3 linked regions of the Ovis aries genome follow. The protein of the gene in region 1 interacts with the protein of each later gene in a pairwise test. Links are inferred from orthologs where the notes say so. Each region holds a gene or a part of one and is shown on either strand. Other genes may lie near its edges.

The links.
Region 2: the proteins of FKBP1B (region 1) and E3 ubiquitin-protein ligase TRIM69 interact in binary tests that used the Homo sapiens proteins (3 or more experiments, as listed by UniProt). The two-hybrid records come from large-scale screens. The link is inferred for Ovis aries from reciprocal best matches to the Homo sapiens genes FKBP1B and TRIM69.
Region 3: the proteins of FKBP1B (region 1) and RYR2 interact in binary tests that used the Homo sapiens proteins (3 or more experiments, as listed by UniProt). The link is inferred for Ovis aries from reciprocal best matches to the Homo sapiens genes FKBP1B and RYR2.

What each region holds. Positions count from the first base shown.
Region 1 is NC_056056.1:31,733,412-31,737,027, reverse strand, and holds part of FKBP1B (peptidyl-prolyl cis-trans isomerase FKBP1B), read right to left. Parts: intron 1,165-3,616; coding exon 1,052-1,164; intron 67-1,051; coding exon of another isoform or gene 22-66; coding exon 1-21. UniProt on the Homo sapiens protein: Has the potential to contribute to the immunosuppressive and toxic effects of FK506 and rapamycin. PPIases accelerate the folding of proteins. It catalyzes the cis-trans isomerization of proline imidic peptide bonds in oligopeptides.
Region 2 is NC_056060.1:101,156,030-101,160,311, forward strand, and holds the start of E3 ubiquitin-protein ligase TRIM69, read left to right. Parts: upstream 1-1,419; 5' UTR 1,420-3,894; coding exon 3,895-4,263; intron 4,264-4,282. Other genes in the region: E3 ubiquitin-protein ligase TRIM69-like, read left to right, coding at 1-486, 1,268-1,419.
Region 3 is NC_056078.1:9,034,991-9,039,315, reverse strand, and holds the start of RYR2 (ryanodine receptor 2), read right to left. Parts: upstream 2,804-4,325; 5' UTR 2,720-2,803; coding exon 2,672-2,719; intron 1-2,671. UniProt on the Homo sapiens protein: Cytosolic calcium-activated calcium channel that mediates the release of Ca(2+) from the sarcoplasmic reticulum into the cytosol and thereby plays a key role in triggering cardiac muscle contraction. Aberrant channel activation can lead to cardiac arrhythmia.

The sequences.
Region 1 (3,616 bases):
CGCCCTCTGCCCCAAGCTCATCTAGCAGGGATGGGGGCAGATGGGGAGAGGAGAAAGAGGACCCAGCTTGATTTAAAAGAAAAGAGTAAGGTAACTGTCATTTTCCCAAACCATCCTCATGGTAACCCTGAAGATCTGAGATGAATTTTATATGTGGCACACTGAAGTGATGCTAAGAGTTGTAACCAAGGCAGATTGCATGTGAGACTAGCAGAGACGTAACTACGGACAGTAACTTCAACACTGTAGGCTCAAATTCATTGATTTAGCAAACAATGCTGGTTATTCAATTAGAGTACACCTCAACACTTCAATCTGTTCATAATTTTTCCTTCTTTCAAAGAAGCCTAAAGAGGATGTGTAAAGACCATATATGCATGTATATACTCATGTAGGTGCTAGGACCAATTCATTAGATTAAGAGATTAGAAGGCACAGCAAGGAACATCACGTGACTTCATAGAGGAAGGAAGAAGAGCCTGAACCAGGGCTCATCACAGCAGTCCTCAAGGATTTGTCTGGCATTAGTGGGACAACTGGTGAAATCTGAATAATCAATTTTTAAATTTTGAATAACTGACTCAAAAATTTGAACAGATTGGCTAATAGCATTATATCAATGTTAATGTCCTGATTTTGTTCACGGTACTATGGTTATGTAAAACAACATTTAGGGAAGCTGGGTAAAGAGTATATGAGAACTCTACTCATATAATATTTTTGCAAGTCTGAAACTAGTGCTTTTTTTTTTTAAGTTAAAAAAAACCCTAAACAGTAGCCTACCCCACCTCTTCTGCTGTTTCAGTCCTGAACAGCTAGTAGCTCACAGGCTTGCTCAGAACTGGAGGGATGTGCTTGGGAAGACAGCCCCAAGTGACAGGCAACAAAAGGGGTGGGGACACAAAGCCAGGACTGAAACTAGGTGGCATTGCCAAGCCCTGGCAGTGGAGTCAAAGCAGTGATGGTCTGTGATGGGGGAGGGTGGAGGGCAGAGTGCAGAGCCCAGACCCCTAGCTGCTCAAACTCCCCTTAACAAGGATCCTCTTCTTACCTGGGCTGCGCCCTCTTCAAAACCCTTGATGACTTCCTGTTTGCCAATTCTGAACTTGAAAGGCTTGTTTCTGTCTCTGGATGAATCGAATTTCTTGCCATTTTGAAGCATTCCTATGAAAGCAAGGATAGGGTGGAAAAGAGCTGTGGTCATGAGATAACTCCCATTTCAGGTTCAACACGTCTAGTATGGAATTCCTATTCTGTACAAACCTGCTGTCTTCCTGTCCTCCCCATCCATCCCGTTGACTAAGCAAGCACATCCCACCAATCACCAAATGGTACAGATCTTTGAAGTCCAGGTATTTTCTCTACTTTTATTACCACCACCCTGTGGTCTCATCAAGCCACTGTCACACCTTACCTGTGGACAGGAACTGACTCTAACGAGTCTTGTTGCTCTGCTTTTACTCTTCCATTCCCTTCTCCACACTGCACCCAGAATGGTTTCACACACACACACACACACACACACTCACACATGCGCACGCACGTGCCTCATCCTATTATTCCCTTGCTTCTGTAACTTTCCTAAGGGAGAATCCGAATGCCTACATTGTATCCAGGCAGTTTAAGATCTAGCTACTGCCTGCCTGACAACCTTCTCTCTGTCCTCCCCTTCTCCCCTTCCCTTCCCTATTGAGGTCAGACCTTTCTCAAGTACTTCTGCACATTGCAAATTTTTTTATGCACCTTCCTTAGCCTGACAGTCTGTTTTCCCAGGCATTTCAGTTTCAGGTTGAGTCCTCACCTGATGTTCTCAAGGTTCCCCCCCTACACAAAACCCAAAGGTCATATCATCCTTTATTGCAGCGAACAGTGTAAAGTGACCCAGCCAGTCAGGGGCAGCCTCCAGACCTCATACAAAAGGACTGTGTGAACTCAGGACACCCTGAGTGTTTTCTTAGCAGACTGAAGTATCCCTCAGCCTCCAACTGCAGATATCTTGTCATTCCTGATGTACACGCATGTGTTGTCTCAGTCCAGCTGCCTAAGAAGCAAGAGCTGCTTTTCTGTTTTCTGTTCTTACTGGTGTCTCTAGCTCAAATATTAGACATTCTGCAAAGGATGCTACTTCATGCCTTCTTCTCATGGCCTTCTTTGCCTGGACCACATCAGAAGGCAGTCTGGGACCAGAGAAAGATCTAGCTTGTAAATTCAGAGATTAGATTCTGAATTCACTTTGGCACTAACTCACTGTGTGAACTTAGATCACTTTCTCTCTGATCTCAGATTTGCCATGTTTCACATGAGAGGTCTAGTGTCTAAGTATCTGTGATTCCACATCCTAATTCCTACAATATAAATGTATACAAGAGACATTCTTTTTTTTTTTTTTTTTACAAGAGACATTCTTACTTACCTATTTTCTCAGCAGAATAAATTGGGCTCTTTCCCTGGGTACTAAATCAGGCAAAGAAGAAAACCCTATTGCTACACAGAGACACACACAGATGGATACTTCTGTATCAAATACACAAGATCAAATACAAACTCAAGCATACACACAGGTTGCTAAGATATTCAGAGATGCGCATGCATGCTCACATACATTTATGCACATGCACTCAGAAGAAAACCCTGATGGCCAAACAGATGCTAAGAAAATATTTAGATACGTAGATATAATACAGTCACACAGACACAAACTTGTACAGTACACATATGGATATGCACATACACACGCACATACATCCACACCCTCCATTTAAAGACTGACTTTCTCATTCCCCGTACTCCTCAGGTTTCATATGACTTAAACCACTTCAGACCATAAACTTTTATCTACTGCAGCAGGTTCAGTCAAAACCATGCAGTCCAGAAACAGACACCGCAGACACCACAGACACATGGTGACCGGATTTAACAAGGGTGCCACTGAAATGTAATGGACAAAGGGTGATTTTTTTTATTAATGTTGCTGATTGACTGTATATACATATGAGGGAAAATGAACCATCAAAGTGAACCCCTAATTCACCCACACATAAAAATCAACTCCAGATGAATCACAGGCCTAAATATGAAAGATAAAATAATAAAGCTTCTAAGAAATAATAAATAGAAGAAGAGCTTCATCACCTAGGATAGACAAAGATTTCTGAACACAAAATTACTAACTGCAAAAGGAAAGATTCATATGTAGAACTTCATTAAAATTAAGAATTCTGTTCAAAATGGGACTTCCTAGTGGTCCAGTGGCTGAGACTCGGTGCTCCCAATGTAGGGAGCATGGGTTCAAACCCAGGTCAGGGAACTAGGATGCATGCCACAACTAAAGGATCTCATATGCTGCAATGAAGACCCAGCACAGCCAAATACATCTATATTTTAAAAAAGATCCTGCATGCTGCAACCGAGAGAGTCTCACATGCTGCAATTAAGACCCACTGCAGCCAAGTAAATAAAATTAAAAAAAAAGAAATCTGCTCAAAGGATGCCAATAAAGGAATAAAGAAAAACAGATGCTTTGGAATAGGAGATGTTTGGAATAGGTATAGCCAACAAAGGACTCAAATCCAGAATACAAATGAATTCCTACAGATCAATAAGATAAAGACAGACA
Region 2 (4,282 bases), on another chromosome or scaffold:
CAAAGGTATCTTCCAACCTCTCCTCCAAAACTGACTCAGACAGCTACGCTGAAGTGAATGATGTGATCACCCAAATATCCTCCAAAGTGCAGATACAAGATATTACTACGGAATTACACTGCCCATTGTGTAATGACTGGTTTTGTGATCCACTAATGCTAAGCTGTGGCCACAACTTCTGCCAATCTTGTATCCAAAAGTTTTGGAAGCAGCAAGCAAATGAAACATTCTGTCCTGAGTGTAAGATGTTATGTCAATACAGCAACTGTACTTTTAATCTTGTACTGGAGAAGCTGGTAGAGAAGATTAAGAAGCTACCCCTGCTCAAGGGCCATCCACGGTGCCCAGAGCATGGAGAGAACCTGAAACTGTTCAGTAAGCCAGATGGGAGACTAATATGCTTTCAATGCAAAGATGCTCGATTGTCTGTAGGGCAGTCTAAAGAATTCCTGCAGATCTCTGATGCTGTCCGTTTCTTCACGGTGGGTGAGCCCTGGGTCTTGAACAGTCTTGAGCAATTCCTTAGGAAGGCTGGGAAAAACTGTTGGACTTCTTCTTTCAATACCACCCCTCATTCAAGTGATTATTAGAAAGCTCAGAGTGCTCAAAAAATACAACGTATCTTGCAAAGTTCTTTCTCTGTAGTTGTCAATTATAGGGAAGCAGTAAAGGAGCTCTGGCCTACTTCCTCAATCAATCAAACATTTACCTGAACCTTGCCTTGACAGCATTCTACTAGGCACTGTACAGAACATGGACATGTAAAATAATGCTTTTGTTACTGAAGTCTTGAAATGCAGTCAAGTTTAAAGTGAACAAAACAACAGAAGGGATATAAGACAGTCTACTGTTGAGAGCTAAATTTTTGTCACATTTGTTTCAGAGATTAGAGAAAACTGAAATAGTCAGGGGAGGCATGGTGAAAGAAAGCTTGAAGGGGGGGCAATTATTTGAATTTGGATGGGTAGAAGGAAGAAACGAGTGTTCTGAGAACAATGTAAGTAAAAGTAGAGATAGCAAGAACAGTGTAAATATAGTAGAAAGTGTACAGAGTTCTGTTATCTTCCTCAAAGCCCTGTAGTTAGCTAAGAAGAAGATAAAACTTAGTTTTTCTGCAGTTTGTAATTTTCTTCACAATTTTTGGAAGAGACAGGAATTATCATATAAGGGAAAAGGAAACTTTTGTAGTGGGAGCTTGCTTTCTTTCCCCCTGACACCCTGGGGCTTTGGGGTAGATGTTCTTCATGGCCCTTCATCTCCCAATTAGCATGGGTTAATTCTTTATGGTATCCCCAGGAGGAGCTTACCATCCATCAGGGTCAACTGGAGGCAGCCCGGAAGGAGCTTCTGTCCCTGAAGAATATGCAGAAGGATGCTATCGCTGCTCACAAGGTGAGGAGCAGGGTAGAGGGGTCATGAGACAGAACTGGACTTGTACCCTCCTTGTAACTTCAGCTATGTGGGTGGAAAGGTACCTTTACATATACAACAACATGCTAAATGGCATCTGGCCTTAGAAGTAGAAAACAGACACTGTAGAGTGGAAAGAAATACGGCAGTGGAGTAGGTTCCCAATAGCTGATCAACAGAGAGAGCAGACTGACCTTTCCCCTAGATAAGCTGATCCTTTTCATGGTGCAGTCCCTAGGTGATTGCTCTGGGGCTGTGATCTGTCTGATCTTTCCTATTATCTATCGTAAAATAAGGAATTCATTTTTAAAAAATCCACTAAAGATTGTGATGTTCAAAGAAATAACTTTCTTTCCTTTGGGCTTAAAACCAGGCCTCTCTGAACCAAGGTCTCTTAGACTGCTGGCTTTTCTCTGTGATCTAATCCTTCTTAGCTTCTCCCAAACTAAATAAAACTACTGCTTATACTTTCAACTTCACAGGAGCTCTAGGGCAACATTAATGGTTAGGGACTTGGCAAATCAGTTCCTAGGCTGGGGGAATAATTTGGGAGTTCTGTTTCTTCATTAATTATCCTACAGAGGAGAGTCTTCTCTGGCATTTGGCATCTGGAAGAAGAAACAAATATAATGAGGGAAAGAAGAAGGCTAGATGGAAATAAAGATGTCTCAAGAGAATCGTGTTCCTGTTGTAAGAGTTCTTAGTTCAGCTATTACAGTCAACACTCATTCATTCAACAAATATTTGAGTGGTGCAGCATTATGCTAGATATTGTATTCCAACTATGGTGGGAGACAGATGTTAATTAAATAATCCCACCAATAATGAAACATCACTGTGATAATTACTATAAATGATTATATACAGTATATTAGAGTATATAAATGGAGAGCCTAATCTAGACTGAAGAGGTCACTTATTAAAAATTGAAATTAAAAATTCTTATTAAAAATTGAGAATTGAAAGGATAAGTATTATCTTTAGCCAAGTGAACTGGGTGAGGGGAATATGAAGGAAATGGCCTGTAGAATGTTCTATGAAGAGGAAAGAGCGTTATAGAAAAGTTCTTGAGACAGGAAGCTAGTTACTATGTTAAACAGAAAGAAGGCCAATTAAGATGGATCTTGGTAGGCGAGTTGAGACCAAAAAGGCAGATAAGGCCCAATCATGTAGGCCCTTGTAGATAATGTCATGAATTTTGAATTTTATTCTGTGCATAATTGAGAAGTCATTAAAGGGTTTAAACAGGACGGTCTCATCTCATTTTGAAAGCATCAGTCTGGTGGCTGTGTGGAGTGTGGACTGGAGAAAGGCAATAAGAAGGATAACGGTTAGAAGAAGACTACTGAGGTGGTCCCAGAGAACGATGATGGCTTGGACTAAAATGGCAGTAGAGACCGAAAGAAATAAACGGCTTTAACATATGCTTTGGAAAGAAAAACTGCCTGCATGTGGTGACCGATTAGATGTGAGAGGCGAGTGGTGATATCAAATGGACAACCGGATGTATGGACCTGGAGTTGAGAAGCTGGTCTAGGCTGAAAATAAGAGGTCAGCGTACAGACTGCACTTCAAAGTTGTGAGAGCAGAGGCTATTACCGAGAACGAGAGTGTAGAATGAGAAAGGGAAAGAGCCTAGGACAGAGTATCAAGTAATTTAATATTCAAAGCTTGGTTAGAGACACAACTAACAAATGAGACTGAGAAATAGCGGTGAAATAGGTAACAGGAAAAATGGAAATGTCTGACCTAGAGGACAGTGAGAGTTAAGACTATTTTAAAGAGTACAATTACAGTGCTTGACCACAGACTATAAGCTGGATAAGAGGGGACATGAAGACAGAGAAGCTGAAGAACAGAAACGGAGGGTCAATGAATAGGAGGATTCTATGAAATCCAATAACTGCTGCAACAGTGGAACCTGGGTAAGCAAACATAAAAAGTAATTCTGGGGATGGTACAATTGCCGAGGAAGATAAAACCCTCAATGTGACTAAAAGAATGAGTAGATATAGGTAAAAATCACTAGAAATGATGATGAGGAACTGAGAAGCCAGGATGCCAGATGGCTTGCCCATGAGGAAGCTGAAGTCACCTAGGGAAAGAGCTGCCAGTGTAACGGTTACCGATTTCAAGTGCTGCAGACACCACCCATCTCTGGCTTCTTTTGTATTGTCCTGGCAGCAGGAATGGTGCCTCCTCCGTTCTGATTTCTTGAAAAAGGGCAGTTCTTCCAGCCTCCTCTGGACCCAGTCTAACAGCATCCCTTGGTAGATACTGGTTTGTACTTGTGGATAAAAGGGTATTATTGTTCATTTAAAAGTGTTCGATTAACCCCACAGTCTTATTTAAGATGGCATTGGTTACCACCTCAGTTTTGCAACAGGAACCTAGACATGACTTTTGACTATTCCAACCCTAACTATTAAACTAGCTGGGAAAGACAGAGTAAGTTTCCCAAAGGCCTCCTTTTAGTACAGTTGGATGTTGATATGCAGTGTTTGCATGCGTTTTCCTGTTATGGTATTTCCCAAGTTGTGGGAGTGCTGGTGGTGTGGGCCCCCATCCCTAAATGCTAGTCTCAGTAATTACCATGGTGATGATCATGGAGGTTTCCAGGAAAACAAGCTACATCTGCAGCAACACATCTCCCTGGAGTTTCTAAAGCTGCATCAGTTCCTGCACAGCAAAGAAAAGGACCTTTTAAGTGAGCTCCGAGAAGAGGGGAAAGCCTTGAATGAGGAGATGGAGCTGAATCTGAGCCACATTCAGGAACAGTGTCTCCTAGCCAAGGAGATGTTGGTGAGCATCCAGGGACGGATGGAGCAGCAGAACCCCTTCGACTTTCTCAAAGTGAGACTCCACACCGACA
Region 3 (4,325 bases), on another chromosome or scaffold:
AGTGGGTTGCCATTTCCTTCTCCAAGGCATAAAAGTGAAAAGTGAAAGTGAAGTCACTCAGTGGTGTCCAACTCTTAGCGACCCCATGGGCTACAGTCTACCAGGCTCCTCCATCCATGGGATTGTCCAGGCAAGAATACTGGAGTGGGGTGCCATTGCCTTCTCCAAGAATATACTACATGTCTGGTCAAATTCACCATTATGGCCTTTTAATGACTAACAGTTTGACTTTTTTTTTTTTTTTAAAGCAGGACAGTTATCCATAATCTGTAACCATTTTATGTAGGTGTGCAGGTTGTTAATACTCCCTGGGCTACCAAAAAAACAGAGAAAAAAATGCTCCCCCTCCCAAAAAAAGGTAAGAACTACATTCTCTCCATTCCTAACTCCATTAACATTTCTGAACCAACAACATTCTCGGATTAAGTGAATAAAACAGAAAGGAGCAAGGGCAGACAGACGAGTGATAAAGGGTTTGAGAGTTTCTGTATTAAAACTAAAATTTAGAGGGAAAGGCATGTTTTCCTTTTAGATGTTCATGCCACACCACACCAAAAAAATTCCCCTGCTCCATCAAGCTACCTCCTTCAAGGTCATTTATCATCAGCACAACAGCCTACGGATGTTTTATTAAAAGAAAAATCCCAGCCTAGGACTGCCAGATCTCTACCCACGACCCACTTATCAAAGGTGTCGCTGGGGCTGACAGGCAGCTGTCCAGGGGCACAGACTTAACATTACTTTATATGTACAGAAGCCCATCAGCAAGCACATTACCTCGGTCCCCATTAAGTATTCTGATAACACCACCTCCATGAGCTCCGCTAACATTTAAGCCTGCAGGAAGCCCTTGAGTGCACAGAGCCTTCCAAAATTTTCTAGCTAATTTTAACCCTATAGAGTATGAAAAAAAACTGAATTTAGAGATTACACAGCAACTAAATATTTTACCCACCCAAACAAAAGCTTTCACAGTACTGAGAAACATCTTTTCATGTGGCTTTTTATTAGTTATTAGAAAACGATATCGTTTTTCACTAAAAAATAAATAAATAAATAAAGGTAAACTGTCTTACTAGCAGGCTTAAAATACTCCTGATGAGCAAGGTTTTCCTGAACTGGTTCTTTAGAGCTGGGTGGTGGAGCAGTAGTACCACCAACAGCATATGTAATGGTGCATGACTCGCAGCTATTAGATCAAATCACTGGCCAATCTGAAGTGTACCCTGGATTTTATTCTTTCTAAAGCCCCTACCCCCAAGCAAAAGTGAGTGCAAAAAAAAAAAAAAAATAGAAGAGCTAAATGGAAAAACAGGCCACTTAGAATGCTCTTGAACAAATGTACTGTTTTCACTCGTTCGGGACCCAAATACATCATCTAGGCTCTTTTCGCACCTAAAAGTTGCTATCTGGTTAATATTTCAAAACCTAAGTCTCGCTCTAATTGTCTGTGACTGTGGGGTAATTGCAAGTGGGCACCGACAGCTTTTTCACTGTTGGGGAAAGAAGAGACACGAGAAGCTGCAGTCTTTGGCGGGGGGATGGGAGGTGGAGGGAATCCTGGAAGGGAATATCCTTCGGAGAGGAGGAGGCAAGTGCAGAGAAAGGAAAGACCGAGAGGATGCTGTAAACGCTAACACGGCGATTCTTAACCAGAAGTTACGACATTTTCTTTTGCCAAGGGGCTCTCCAGTCCCAGCTTCGAGGGGACCAAAGCCTCAGCCAGGGAAGTATCTGCAGCGTTCGAACAAATCGGCGACAGGAAGGAGCAGTGCCAAGGGGTACTTAAGGAGAAAAAACTGTATTAGTGCGAAGCCAACCTTTGCCTGCTGCCACTCAGTGTGGAAATTCCAGGCAGCCTCCCTGCCCTTACACACACGCGCACACACACACACACTTTGCTGCACTCAGCGTTCAATAAGCCAACATTTAGAGAACGACGCGTTCGCGAGGTCCCTCGCCGCCCCCGCGTGCGCGTGCACAGACACTCACTTCCCATCCCTTCCACGTTCTGCGAGCAGTCTCAGCACCACCAACGGCCCGAACCCAGGCACCGCGAGGTCCACGGAGACGACGCTCTCTCCCCTGAGCAGCACCTCGACTTGGGGGCAGTCTCGGGGCACGTCCTGCACCCGCCTCCCCGACCCCGGCAACGCCAACTGCGCGAATCCCCGGGATGCGTGACTGCGCGCGGGTCTAACGCGAAAGCCGAGAAACCGCGCCGCGGCGGGATTCCGGGCAACAACCGCGTCCCCGCTGGTCCCCGCTCCGCACCGCGCACTCCGTCTGCACTGTGCCCCGGCTGCCCCGAAGGTCCCAGCCTCGCCGACCGGTCAGGCCGGATCGGCAGCCCCCGAGTCTCCAGACTCCCGCTGCTCCGGGGCTCCCGATCTCAGCGCCCTGGGACCAAGCCGGTGCGCCGCCGGCCGCTCTTCGCGCTCCGGCCACGCTCGGTCTCCGGGCTTTACACGCGGGCGCACAGACACGCACCCTCCCTTCCCTCGCCCCGGCACGCACACTTGCGCCCCCCGGGAGTTGCCCGCCTCCTCCCGCACCGCCAGAGGCAGCCCCCTACGCGCCCGCGCGTCCCACTGCCGGGAGCCGGCCAGTGGATGCCCCGGCTCCCTCTAGCCGCCCCCCCTCCGGGGAACCCGAGACGCGCGGCGCTTACAGTTCGCAGGAACTGGATCTCATCTTCGCCCTCGCCCCCATCGGCCATGGCTCTGCTCCTTCTCGCAGGGGCCGGCCCCCGAACCCCGCGGAGCCCGGCGTCGCTGGCGGCGGCGGTCCCTCGCTCTGTCTGCTGCTGCTGCTGTTTCTGCTGCCGGGAGCCGGGGGCGGGAGGGGTCCGAGGCTGCTGGGTGCCGAGCGCCAGGCGGTCCCCGCCTGCAGAGCGGAGGAGGAGGCCGGCGGGCGGGGGCGGCGGAGGCGGGAGCCTCCCTGCGCCGCACTGTGCGGGAGGAGGGCGACCCGGCCCGGAGGACGCGGGCAAGCGGCCCCGCAGCCCCGCCGCGCTGGCTTCGCACGCCCCGCCTGCCGCAGGCGGACTGCTCGGCCCCGGCTCCTCCGAGCGAGTGCGCTGAGCTGGCGGAGCCCGGGTGAGTGCCGCGGTGGGGGCGGGGAGTGGGGGCGGACGGGCGGGGAGGAGCTCGCCGGCTCCCCTCTGCTGCAGGTAATCCGCAGCCCGCTCCTCGGGGCCACCAAATCCGAGGCCCAGCGCCGCTTACTGGCCGCTCCGGGTATCGGAGCCGGAGCGCAGCCGATGAGCGCGCAACCTTCCAGCGGCGCCCTTCTTGTTTCCCTGGGCTCCTGCACCTGCGGCTTCTGACCTTAAACCAGCTCTCACGATTGCTTCTCCTGCGGGAGCGGAAGGGACTCCCACAGTACTTTCCGCGGCACTTCAGATCTCAAGCAAGAATCATCTTTCACCCGGATGCCCGGAGTGGATCACCTCCAAGTAAAGGTGATTTTAAACTTAGATTAGTTCTGTTCCCCGATCATCATGAGAATTCATTAGGATCTAGTGTCGGTGCACCATGCTCCTCACAGATCAGACACACAAAATGCATGGTACATAGAACTGTAACAAACTCATTCAACAAATACATGGTGAATCCCTGTGCCAGATACTGGAGAATAAACAGACCGGAGTTTACACTCTATTAGAAGTGCTTAACTATGGATTGCGATAAGCTATGAGATATCAGTATGAATCATTGAGGCCGTCTAAATTCGGAATATGGTACTCTCTGTCCTCACTATACAGCCATTTACTTCTGAAGAAAGTCGAGCGTTTCACCACAAGTATCAATATGTAGTTCCTGCAATCCTCCGTGCAATTACCCACCAAATTGCCGTTTAACAAAATTGCTGTAAGAAAACGCAGGGTCTGAGAGAATTTGGACAGGAAAGCACTTATCTCTTGTTCCTAGTGCACGATTCCTTCATTTACGGTACTTTAAGTATATACAAACCAAAGACTGCAAATGTCAATCCTCCAAAGATTCAGACGCTGTCAGGTGGTTTGTCATCAGTTTACCTACACTGCGCGTTTTGTAGCATATAACTGGTTACTAAGATCTGCATAGTAGATTCTATGCACCTTATATGCTATTTTCAGCTTTCATGAACTTTATACTTACTGAGCCAGTTTTGCATATTTCCAGTAGAATGAATAACATAAAGAATATGCTTATAAATACTGTCCCTCTTGGTGAGATTAGCAATGCTCTGCTCTATTTTATGATACTAATCATATTACCGAAGTTCTTGACATATTTTTGTATATGGACCCATAATGACTAGCCAATTCTTTCTTTTTTTTT